Alligator mississippiensis: one gene and its partners. The protein of the gene in region 3 interacts with the protein of the main gene of each other region in a pairwise test. Links are inferred from orthologs where the notes say so. Each region holds a gene or a part of one and is shown on either strand. Other genes may lie near its edges. The genes, in order: PPP1R3C, PPP1R3D and EPM2A.

Region 1 (3,749 bases), on a different chromosome or scaffold from region 3:
AGCTCCGAAAAATGTTTTCTCAAACATAAAACGATTCAAGTGCCCTGACTTAGAAAAAAAAGGGGTGAGGGGTGGGGAAGAGATGTTAAAAAAATAAAAGTTTCTTCAAGAACAGTGGTTTTGGAAACAACTTTGGTGGAGTTTTGCAGTTTGTAGGGGACTAGAAGGGATTAAGAAAAGCTACATTTTAATCCTAGAAGTGTGGTCCCACTTGGGTAATGGTTCAGTCCTTAATGCAGCCTCAAAGAGAAGATATCAAACTGGGAGCTGCTAAAACTGTGCAAGACAGGAGGTCTTTGTAAACCAAAATATCACAACATGCTGTCTCTTGTCAATGTGTTTAAATATATTGCAAATAATTCCTCCACCCGATCCTACAGTACTTGCTGGTATTTGCAGACTTTAAGGTTAAATATATATAAAAATACAAACATGGGAGCTACCTCATCATTTACATTTTCTATTAGGAAACGAATGGCAGCTATTTGCCTGGCTTGCTGTCTGGAGAGGGGCTGTTATTCACTTTGCAGCTGGTTAAAAATATTACATTTAGAAACCAAGTGAACTTGCTTGTTGGGCTATTTTTCGTATGTTCTTAGGTGTTGGGGGGGAGAGAATAAACAGCCCTTGCTTTCCTGACACCTCCTCCTTCCAGCAGCCCAGGGCTTCCCAGTCCAGTCCTACAAAATAAGCGGGGATAGATGTTCACCCCGCAACCAAGCTCCTGCGGGCAGGCCCCTCGTGGAGGGGGAAGCCCACCGACAGCAGTGGGGCGCTGACAGGGAGCAGCACTTTATCCCTTCCCATGTTTCGGATCAGGGCTTTCCTCAGTAGCCTACAAGGGACCCTCGCCTCTGGCACCGGGCAGTGGGGACCCCTCAGAACCGCGCCCTCCCCCGCGGGCTTATGCTGCTTCAGCCCATATCCATGACAGCTGCTCCCACCACTAAATACCCCTGGAGGCCCGACTCCACGTTTAGGAAATGCAGTTTGCTTGTAAAGGAAGTGCGGTGATGATCCCCACACCCCGGGAGGCGCCTCAAGGCAATGCGCCCCCTGAAATCTGCTGATGTGCGTCGGCAGAAAGCCCGCCATGCGGGCCCCCGGGGCTGGCCGGGAGCGCCCCCCAGTCCCGCAGGGGCGGCCGCGGCAGCTGGCGGGGCAGCGGGACGGAGCCAGCGGGGCGGGGTTGGCTGCGGGCGGCTCCGCGTGAAGGGGCAGCGCGGCTCTAGATAAGCGGCCGGGGCGGCGCTGCAGCAGAGCGGGGCCGGGCCGGGCAGGGCCGGGCAGGGCGAGCCGCAAGCGAGAGCCTGCACCCGAGCGACCGCGGAGCAGAAGCATCTCGCCGCACCGCGCTGGCTAATCACCTGCGCCAGGTAAGTCCAGGGGACCCGCTCCCGGGGCAGGCAGCGTCTGTGACCGCCAGCGCGGCGGGGCCGGCCCGACACCCGGCTTCTCTCGTCTCCCCGCTCTCGCCCAGGGCCCGAAAGCGCCCCGTCCCAGGCGGCCCTGACTTGGGGGCCCGCCCTGCCTTCTCCTTGCTCCTCGATCATTCTTAGCATAACGAGGGAGAGGCGGCTGCAAAAGCAGCAGAATTGTCGGGATTTGAATTGCTGGTTTGTGGGAAGAAAACTGGGCTGGGAACTTCCAAGAGGGCGGTGGGGTGTATGCCACCCCGGAGACTGAGAATATGCTGCGTTCAGCTAAGAGTGCTGCCTTGCTTGTCTTCCCCCACTGCTTGCCCTAACAGCCCAGAGCCATGAGACTTGGAGCCTAGTTAAAAAAAAAAAAAAAAAAAAAAAAAAAAATCCTCCCCCACCTATTTCTCGCACTGCTCTGCCGTACCAGTGAAAGTGCTGGAAGGAGAAACCTGTTTCTGAACATGACAAAGCAAATATTCTCACTTCTTATGACGCAACAGAATTTTAGATTTTAATGCAGAATACACGACAGCTGTCAAAAGGATTGCACTGGAAGCCCAGCTCACAAACCTATACGTCCAGGATGTATTTCCTGAATAGTCACTAGGGGATGAGATGGTTTATAATTAGACTGTAGCATAAAACCCCTATAGTCTTACAGTAGGTCAGTGGTAGATCTTACACATGAATTTAAAGATGATTGCAGAAGGAAAGCATTTTTAAGAGCTGCTATATTATCTCATTGCACTGAGGTGGGGGGGGAGGGGGGATAGGGAGAATCACATTCTTTTTGCATAACTTAAATTAGCCAAAAGAAGGTACAGTATGCCCCTAGTACTTAGAGCTAGGTGAAAAAGTGTTGTTAATCAAATGAGCTTGACCTCTTGTGCATTAGAATAATTCAAACGGGCTTGAAAATATTTTTATTTATGATGTGAACATAGCATCTAACCTGAGTCATATAGTGTTATTTCCAGATGAACCAATTTGCCAAAATCTATGGAAACTTGCTTAGTACCTTTTTGACTGGAGCTTTCTAAATCAGATGCACCCTTTCATTATGAATAGCAAGATCTGTACTAGTGTATGAAAATCCTCTTTCATGCGTGAATATCTGCTAGGGGGAAGGGGGGTGAAAGTATATTTTGATATGAATATCTGCTAGGGGAAGGGGGGTGAAAGTATATTTTGAATAATTGTGTAATTTAAAATCCTCTCTTGCAGAGAGGTTTGTTGGGAAAAATGAAAGAATCTGGCCAAATCCAAACAATCCAGAATTCTCAAGAATGGTTGATTGATTTATGCTAATTCCTTAGCTCCAACTGAACCACAGTTTGTTTTTTGTATTGCATTGAATAATTAGGACACTGTATGAAGTCAAGCATGCGGAGCTCCTTAGGAAGCTCTCTTCCAATGTATACCTGATGTAGCAAACAACCTAACATGCTGTCTCCCCACTCAATTTCAGAATGATACAGATCTTGGACCCAAGACATTTGCCCACCTCTATGATGCCTGTTGATGTGGCCATGAGAATATGCTTAGCCCATTCTCCACCTCTGAAGAGTTTTCTCAGTCCCCTTGATGACTGTCAAAGAAACAACTTTGTTAACAGATTTAAGCCTCTAAGGTCGTGTCTCAATTTGAAACGAGAATCTGAGTCTCAGAGTAACGACTGGAACCGTTCACCAAGCCGAGCCAAAAAACGAGTTGTGTTTGCGGACTCAAAAGGGCTTTCTTTGACCGCAATACACGTCTTCTCTGAATTCCAGGAGCATCCTGTATGGGATCTTCAATTTAACTTGTTAGATCTTGAGGACATAACAGCCAGTTTAAAACTACATGAAGAGAAAAACTTGATTCTGGGTTTCTCTCAGCCTTCAGCTGACTATTTAGACTTCCGGAATCGGTTGCAAAAGAATTTTGTCTGCCTCGAAAATTGTACACTGCAAGAAAGGGCAGTATCGGGGACAGTGAAAGTGAAAAATGTCAGCTTTGAGAAAATGGTTCAGGTTCGGATTACCTTTGATACATGGAAAAGTTACACCAATGTTGACTGTGTCTACATGAACAATGTGTACGGAGACTCCGATAGTGATACCTTCTCATTTGCCATTGACCTGCCTACAGCCATTCCCATTCAAGAGAAGACTGAATTTTGCATTTCTTACCAAAGTGGAGAGCACATCTTCTGGGACAATAATGAGGGTCAGAACTATAAAATTCTCCATGCAGAATGGAAACCTGATGGTGTCCAAGTACCAGCATCTACCAAAAAAGACCGTGCCATTGACAACATTCCAAGGAAAACACAGGAAAATGAAGCTG
Region 2 (3,749 bases), on a different chromosome or scaffold from region 3:
ATGCCTTTATGTCCTCTATTTTTCACCACTCGGCCCTCCCTCCTCCCCGCCCACCACCGTCCACTGCTGACATCGCTGAGCAGCTGCCTGCAGGAGCTTGCTCTGCCTCCCCAGCCTTGGGAGACACGCAATGTTCATCAATACCTACTAATTATGCTAATTGATTGATTCCATCATGACATTGCCTAGCAACACTCATGTGGGGCCAGGATGCCACGAAGTGAAGGCAATCAGGACTTGTGGAAGGCGTAAGGTGGCCATCGAGGTACTTCAAGAATAGAGAACAGTTGCTTTTAGTGCAACTGTCTTGAGGTACCTTGAGGACGACCCCACCACAAGTCCCGATTGCCTTCACCCCATGGCACCCTGGCCTCACCTGGGTGCTGCTAGGCAATGTCATGATGCATTCCATTAATGAGCATAATTAGTTGCTATTGATGCAATTATTAATAAATGTGATCCATTAGTAATGATAGACTTTGGGTCAATGATTCCCACGGATCCTGACTTTCTCTTAGCGAAAAAAAAACAATCCCCAGTTTTTGGTTTAAAAAAAAGGAACCCAAAATCCACATTTTCCAGTGACTAAAATGAAACACCATTATATAGTCAGGTATCCAGGTTGTAGCCATATTGGTCTAAAGGAAAAGGCAATCAGGACTCGTAGTAGAGACAATCCCTTTTATTAGACACACAAGATTTTTGCAAAAAAACCCAAAACAATTCTTTAATCTCAAGCTTTGTTTGTGCCCGAAAGCTTTAAATGAAAGAAAAAATTGTTGCATACCACTATATATCTATAGATATATATGATAGATATATATCTATAGGTATCTATAGATCTATCTATCTAGATCTATCTATCTAGATCTATAGATACATATATCTATCTATAGATATATCTATCTATATAGATACATAGATATATCTATCTGTATAGAGATAAATATATGATAGATATATATCTATAGATACATATCTATAGAGCTATCTATAGATATAGATATATAGATACATAGATATATCTATCTATATATAAATATATGATAGATATATATGTATAGATATATATCTATAGAGCTATCTATAGATATAGATATAGCTATCTATCTATCTATCTATCTAGATAGATAGATAGATAGATAGATAGATAGATAGATAGATAAGAGTGATTTCATTTTAATCACGGAAACGTAGATTTGGGGTTCTTTTTTTTTTTTTTTTTAACCAAAAATTGTGGATTTTTTTTTTTTAATCTGATTTTTAAAAAATCCTCTGGTTTTCTCTGAGAAAACCAGGATCCCCGATGATTACTAATGAACACTCCTGCCCTCCTCCCCCTGTCTCCTCCCTCCTCCTTTCCCTTCCCCTCCCCCCTACCCATCCCGCAGACTGCAGGTGCCTAGTGAGGGCAACCCGAGGGCAGCGGCTTCGCGACACCCAGTGCGCACGCTCCTTACTCGGAGCATGCGCAGAAAGGCCCGCGGCTCTGATTCGTCGGTGGCGCGGGCGGCGTGACGTCACGGGCGCCGCGTTGCCAAGCGCCGCGGGCCGGGCCGGGCCGGGCCGGGCCGGGCGATGGCGGCGCTGCGGGCGGGCCCGTGGGTGCCGGAGTCGGCGCTGCGGGCCCCGCGGCGCAGCCCCAGCTACCTGTCGGGGCTGCGGGCCGGCGAGGCGCGGCCGCCGAGCAGCTGCGACCCGGACCTGCGGCCCATCATACGCCGGCGAGCGCGCTCCTTGCCCACGTCCCCCGAGCGGCGGAAGCGAGCCGCGGCGCAGTGCCCCGTGCCGGGCTGCCGCAGCCCCATGAACCGCGTGCGGTTCGCCGACGCCTTGGGCCTGGAGCTGACCCAAGTGAAGGTCTTCCAGAGCAGCGAGGACCCCTCCGTGCCCCTGCACGTGCTGTCCCGCCTCTCCATCAACTCGGCGCTGTGCTGCAGCAGCTTGGACCTGGAGTTCGCCATGCAGTGCCTGGTGCCCGACTTCCCGCCGCCGGCCGACGCCGCCGATTTCACCGCCCGGCTCCGGCGCCAGCGCGTGTGCCTGGAGCGCGTGAGCAGCTCGGACCTGGGGCTGGGCGGCACCGTGCGCGTCCTCAACGTGGCGTTCGAGAAGCAGGTGTCGGTGCGCTACACCTTCGACCGGTGGCAGAGCCTGCACGAGGTGTGCGCCCTCTGGCACAGCGGCGTCGCCGAAGGGGACGGGCTGGGCCCCGCCGACGTCTTCACGTTCTTCCTCCCGGTGCCTCCTTTCCTGCTGCGGCCCTGCTCCGTGGTCCAGCTGGCGGTGCGGTACCGAGTCGACGGGCACGAGTACTGGGATAACAACGAGGGCCAGAACTACAGCTTCACCTGCAGGAGCCACCCGCTCAAGATGCCTCGGGAGTGCGAAGAGAGCTGGATCCACTTCATCTAAGCGCCGCGGCGCCGCCCTCTCCGACGGCAGACGAGGGTCTTTGGGGCAATCCGATATCCTAAACCAACGCGGCTGCGACCTCTCCCGTGGCACCGCAGGAAGCCTGCTGAAGCCCGTCGCGCCGTTCAGAGATGTTTCAAAATAAGAAAATAAGAGCTCTTTGCAAAGCACTTCTTGGGCGTTAAAAAGCTGCCTGCTGTCTCACGCGATTCAAGAGATCTCTCAGCATGGCAGGGCAGCGTTGGCTCAACGGGGCGCTGCTGCCAGATTTAAAGCTAGAACGTCTAAAAGCAAAACAGAGCTCTTGGGAAATACTATAGATTGCGCAGGCAGAACTTTTTTAACTAATGTTTCATAATTTTAACGGCCTTTCTGTTTTGCACTTCATTGGGAAATGGACTGTTTTGCTTTGTAGTTTTGTTAGGATGCCACTTCTTACACACTGGTTCTTGGGCATTGTGCCACTGATGCAAAGTCTAGGATGCAGGTGCTGCGAGGGAATGTTTATATTTAGGTCCATTTTTATTAATATTTAAAACGCATTTAATATTTTTATTGTTGGTTTTCATTATTTTTAGCAACCACTGGCTATTAGATGGATACTATCTGACAGTGGCCCTAAAAAAATAAGTTGTAAACCTGGTGCCTTTTCTTATCTGCAGTGCATGTTATAGATGCAGTCAAAGGGATTGTTAACCACAGCGTAGTGTTTGTTAAATTGTGAGGCTGCCCTTTGTGGGGAAGTTCTCTTCTTTTTTTTTTTTTTTTCCATGTGAAATACATGTGGGTCTCTGGAAAAAGGAAAAAAAAAAAAAAGATGTTTCCCTTTTTGAATAACTGCTCTTACTAAGTAACTCCATAGCAGTGTTGCACTTCTTCCTGAAGATAGCACTTCTGCTGTCCGTTCTACCTGAAGATAACCTGGTGATAAAAGAGAAATGCTAATGAATTAAGCCTCTCAACTCCTGTGGGAGGCTAGTAATTATGCCTATTTATAAGTGGGGAAACAGATTTGAGATGCTAAATGCCAAGGCCATACAGTGACCAGGCTGTAGAATCGAATCCACGAGTTCTGGTGCTTATGTCTCTGTTGCAGTCTCCTCACTCTGTGGCAGTAGTGTCTTGAACCCTATAATTACCTGCTTTTACTCAGTTAAACAAAAATGCCCTGGCTCCTCCTGCTCCAGCACAATGTGGTGGCTTCTAGGAGGGATGAAGGCATGGCCGGTGCCACTGTGGATCCACTGGTAAGAGTCTCTCTTATGCGGTAGTGGGGGGATGGCCTCCCCCATACACAACCTATTGCACTGCCTCTAGTGGGGTGAGGATTGAGT
Region 3 (3,749 bases):
AGGTGGTGGAGTCTGGTAGCAGAGCTGGGTTCAAAAGGGGGCTAGATGTGTTTGTGGCTGCATGGTTGGGCAATTAGGCACATGCCAACTGACTGTGGATGACAGATCTATTTATGGCTATTGAACAGAAAGGCTGGAGGGTTTCCGGTGGCATCTCTAGCCCAATAAGCGATGGATGCTAGAGAGGGGGTTGAAGAGGGGAAGGGTGTCAGACATCTGGCCCCTAGGTCTAATCAGACCTACGCAGGGCACGGACCCTACCCATGGACCCCATCCCCCCAGCACACCTGAGCCGGCACCGGCTTGAGCCCCATGCCCAGATCCCAGAGCAGCTGAAGCAGTGTCTGCAGGGGAACAGCTTTGCAGGTCTTAAATATGAAATTACCATATTGGAAGCTTGAAATTATCATATGCTAAAAAAGCATGCAAGTTAGGCTTATTTACTTTATAATGCTCCCTGTAGGTGACAGTGAGCGAGTGAGAACTGGGTCATAGAAGTTGAAGCATTTCTTTATTTGGAAGCGAGCAGTGGTAAGAAAATGCCACCAGCAGACCCCAAAGGGGGTTGAGTCCCCAAGTGACTTGGGTTTTGCACATGCTGCGTCAGTCAGCTGCCTCAGAAGTTATCCTACATGTATGTTGAGCACTTTTACTATTACTGATCGTACTTCGTGCCGGGGTTGAAAGTATCCTACAAATACAATCTGATCGTGCACGTGGCAACGGTGCCAAGGACGCGCGACCAGCCCAGCGGCCGCCCGCTTCCTGGACACCAGCAAGCGTCTATGCCCTACGCATGCTCACAGCATGCAGCCTCGAACGCTCGCCGCTGCGGGTGGGCGTAGACCGACACTGGAGCTGGGGTGGGAAGCCAAGCCCCGCGCATGCGCAAAGTATGCAGCCACCTGCTCAGCCAGTCAGTCACGTGCCGGTCGGGTAGTGGGGCTCGAACCCCCGTTCTTTGGGGACGTCCGCGCGCCGGCGTCATGACGTCACAACCCGGAAGACGCTAGAGCTTGCGATCCCTCCGGCAACCACGAGGGGACTGAGTTTGCCCCCCTCACTCCCGGTCCCAGCCCCAGGCGCGGCCATGCTGTTCCGCTTCGGGGTGGTGGTGCCGGCGCGGATGACGGAGGGCGGCGTGGCGCTGCTGGTGGCCGGCTCACGGCCGGAGCTTGGCCAGTGGGACCCGCAGCGCGCGCTGCCCATGAAGCCGGCGCGCCCCACGGCGCCGCGGCCCGCCCAGGAGCCCACGCTATGGCTGGCGGAGGCGGCGCTGCCAGACCACGAGGCCGCCGCCCCCTTCTGGTACAAGTTCCTGCGGCGGCAAGGCGATGACGTCACCTGGGAAGGTAAGGGCGGGGCGGCCGCGACGGCCTGCCCTCCCCGTTGTGACGCAATATGCTTACGTCACGGGAGGGGCGGGGCGGGGCGGCTCTCCTTGGCTGTTAAGTGGCCCCGCTTCTGGAGCCGAATGCCGGGGGGAGGGGCGGGGCTCCTCTCGCCCCGGAGCGTGAAGGTATCGTTTGCTGCGCCTTTCCCCCATATTTACCTGCGCCCGTGTACATTTACATATATTTGCATGTGTAGGAATATAAGCGTATGTAAATGAGGTGTCACGTGGCATGTTGCTGGTTGCCCGCCCCCCCACCGTTGCTGATCTCATCCTGTGGAGCTGGAGGCTGCCCTCGGCCCCCACCTAATACATTGACATATTTATGAATATGCACACATGCAAATGAGGTGCTACTTGGCAGGTGGCTGGTTGGCTCCGCCCCATTGATGATGTCGCTGTGGAACTCGGGGCTGCCCTGTGCCACAGCTGCAGATACTGACATACATGAATATGCATGTTTGCAAATGAGGTGTCATTTGGCATGTGGCTGGTTGGCTCCACCCCCATTGATGGTGTCCTGGCTGTGGAGCTCAGGGTTCCCCTGGGAGGAGGCTATGAGGAGGTCTCGCCTTGCTCAGTCTCCCTCCAGGGCCCCCCCCCCCCCACGAGGGCAGGTGGGCCACATGGTACCTCTCCACCTGCCTCAGCTGGTGGCATCCTGGTGGCCCCTTCCTTTGCGCACAGCAGGGCTCTGGCACCCACTGAGCATGTGGAAGCCAAGAGGGGCAGGGAGGACCTTCAGCGCAGCGAGCACTGCACCCATTGTCCACCCTGGGCTCGTGCCAAAGCCGTGCCCTGCACAGGTATGCAATCAGGTGTCAAGCCCATGCTCTGTGCACGCATGTGAGAGACATACAAGTACAGCTTCCCCACCAGCATGGTACGCTGCATCTCAAGCGAGCTGCATCATCAGGAGCATCAAGCCTGGCTCTGACATCGTTCTCTTGCTATTCATGGCTATCAAACAGAACGGCTAGAGGGTTTCCTGTGGCGTCTCTAGCCCAACAAGTCATCACTTGGATGTGTTGGCCTTTTTCCCTCCTTACCCACCTCATGTGCTAGTGCTAGGTGTGATCAATCTGTGGCTCGGGAGCCACAAATGGCAGGAATAATAGCAGGGGGTGGCATGTAGCAGATCAGGCAGCGGAGAGGCAGCATAGAGGTAGGGAACAGAAAGTGGAGTGGCTGATCAGGCAGGAAACATGGACAGGGAGCAGATAGCAGAGCAGCGGATCTGGCAGGGAGCACAGCACAGAAGAGGAAGCACAGCAGCAGATTTGGTAAAGGAAGGGAAGCAGAGTGGCACTCCCAAGAGGGTGTGGGGCTAATTTGTGGTATGCCTGCTAATAAAGTTGGCCCTCACTGCACAAAGCCATCAAGTGTTGCATAGTATTTGTCATGTTAATTGTGCTATTTCACTGAATATCACTGTAGTATCTTGTACAGAGGAGAGAATGAGTATCCTGACATTTGCTGAACCAACTAAAAATTGAATTGATTTTTTTCTTAGCAATAGGCATTATAGATGGTGGATGGAGCAAAGTTGGACTTAAGAATCCTTACTCTTTTAATAAGGAGCATCCATTCATTTTTTAGATTAAAAACATTTTTGCATTTTACCTTTTTTAAATAGTTCCTTAAAAGCTGAATCTGTACACAGAGGAACCGTGACAGCACAGCTGCACTTCGCACATTTGGAGGGATACATACAAAATCTCAGGAGTTACTTACACCTGCTTGGAGGAAAACAAGTTGCCATAATTGCATGTAAAAGAAAGCAAAATAAATACACTGAGGAAAGAGAATAGTTCGTTAACATTCAGTCTTCGAGAGTGACATTTGTTTGTGATGTAAATAAGATGTGCCACTGATTAAATTTCTTGCATTTAATGACTAAATTACACAGCATGCTCTACCTGTTTTGATAATATCTTTCTTTTGCAGAAGTCCTGGAAAAGTGAATTTATGAAATCAAAATCTCTCACTCATCCAAAGGATCAATAGTAGGTGCCAAGTTCAGTATAATAATTTGCTAGGTTCTTCTACACATATCATAAGTAGACTTTCAAAGTTTACACATTTTATAGAAATAGAGCTTCATGTTTTGAGCTGGCTTTGGTGTCAGTCTGAAGTTATTGCCCCAAGGCTTGTATGAGAAACAGAAAGCTGTGGAAGCGTAGGCAATTTTAACAGCAGATATACTGACAGTGGTTGACTTGCTCCTTGTAGGAGCAGTGCTCATGCAAGTGTTACGATTTTGAAGCTGAGTTATTTCAGTCAAAAATAAAACGGCTGGTTTATCTAGAGCGGTGGTTTTAAACCTTATTATTTGTACTTGAGGTACCCCTGAATG

The links.
Region 1: the proteins of EPM2A (region 3) and PPP1R3C interact in binary tests that used the Homo sapiens proteins (3 or more experiments, as listed by UniProt). The link is inferred for Alligator mississippiensis from reciprocal best matches to the Homo sapiens genes EPM2A and PPP1R3C.
Region 2: the proteins of EPM2A (region 3) and PPP1R3D interact in a two-hybrid assay, tested with the Homo sapiens proteins (2 studies listed by BioGRID, with this or other methods). The link is inferred for Alligator mississippiensis from reciprocal best matches to the Homo sapiens genes EPM2A and PPP1R3D.

Annotation. Positions count from the first base shown.
Region 1 is NC_081829.1:68,912,462-68,916,210, reverse strand, and holds the start of PPP1R3C (protein phosphatase 1 regulatory subunit 3C), read left to right. Parts: upstream 1-1,243; 5' UTR 1,244-1,376; exon of another isoform or gene 1,377-1,766; intron 1,767-2,889; 5' UTR 2,890-2,890; coding exon 2,891-3,749.
Region 2 is NC_081832.1:7,444,701-7,448,449, forward strand, and holds the start of PPP1R3D (protein phosphatase 1 regulatory subunit 3D), read left to right. Parts: upstream 1-1,568; 5' UTR 1,569-1,578; coding exon 1,579-2,415; 3' UTR 2,416-3,749. UniProt on the Homo sapiens protein: Seems to act as a glycogen-targeting subunit for PP1. PP1 is essential for cell division, and participates in the regulation of glycogen metabolism, muscle contractility and protein synthesis.
Region 3 is NC_081824.1:125,595,965-125,599,713, reverse strand, and holds the start of EPM2A (laforin), read left to right. Parts: upstream 1-854; 5' UTR 855-1,090; coding exon 1,091-1,352; intron 1,353-1,417; exon of another isoform or gene 1,418-1,519; intron 1,520-3,340; exon of another isoform or gene 3,341-3,399; intron 3,400-3,749. UniProt on the Homo sapiens protein: Plays an important role in preventing glycogen hyperphosphorylation and the formation of insoluble aggregates, via its activity as glycogen phosphatase, and by promoting the ubiquitination of proteins involved in glycogen metabolism via its interaction with the E3 ubiquitin ligase NHLRC1/malin.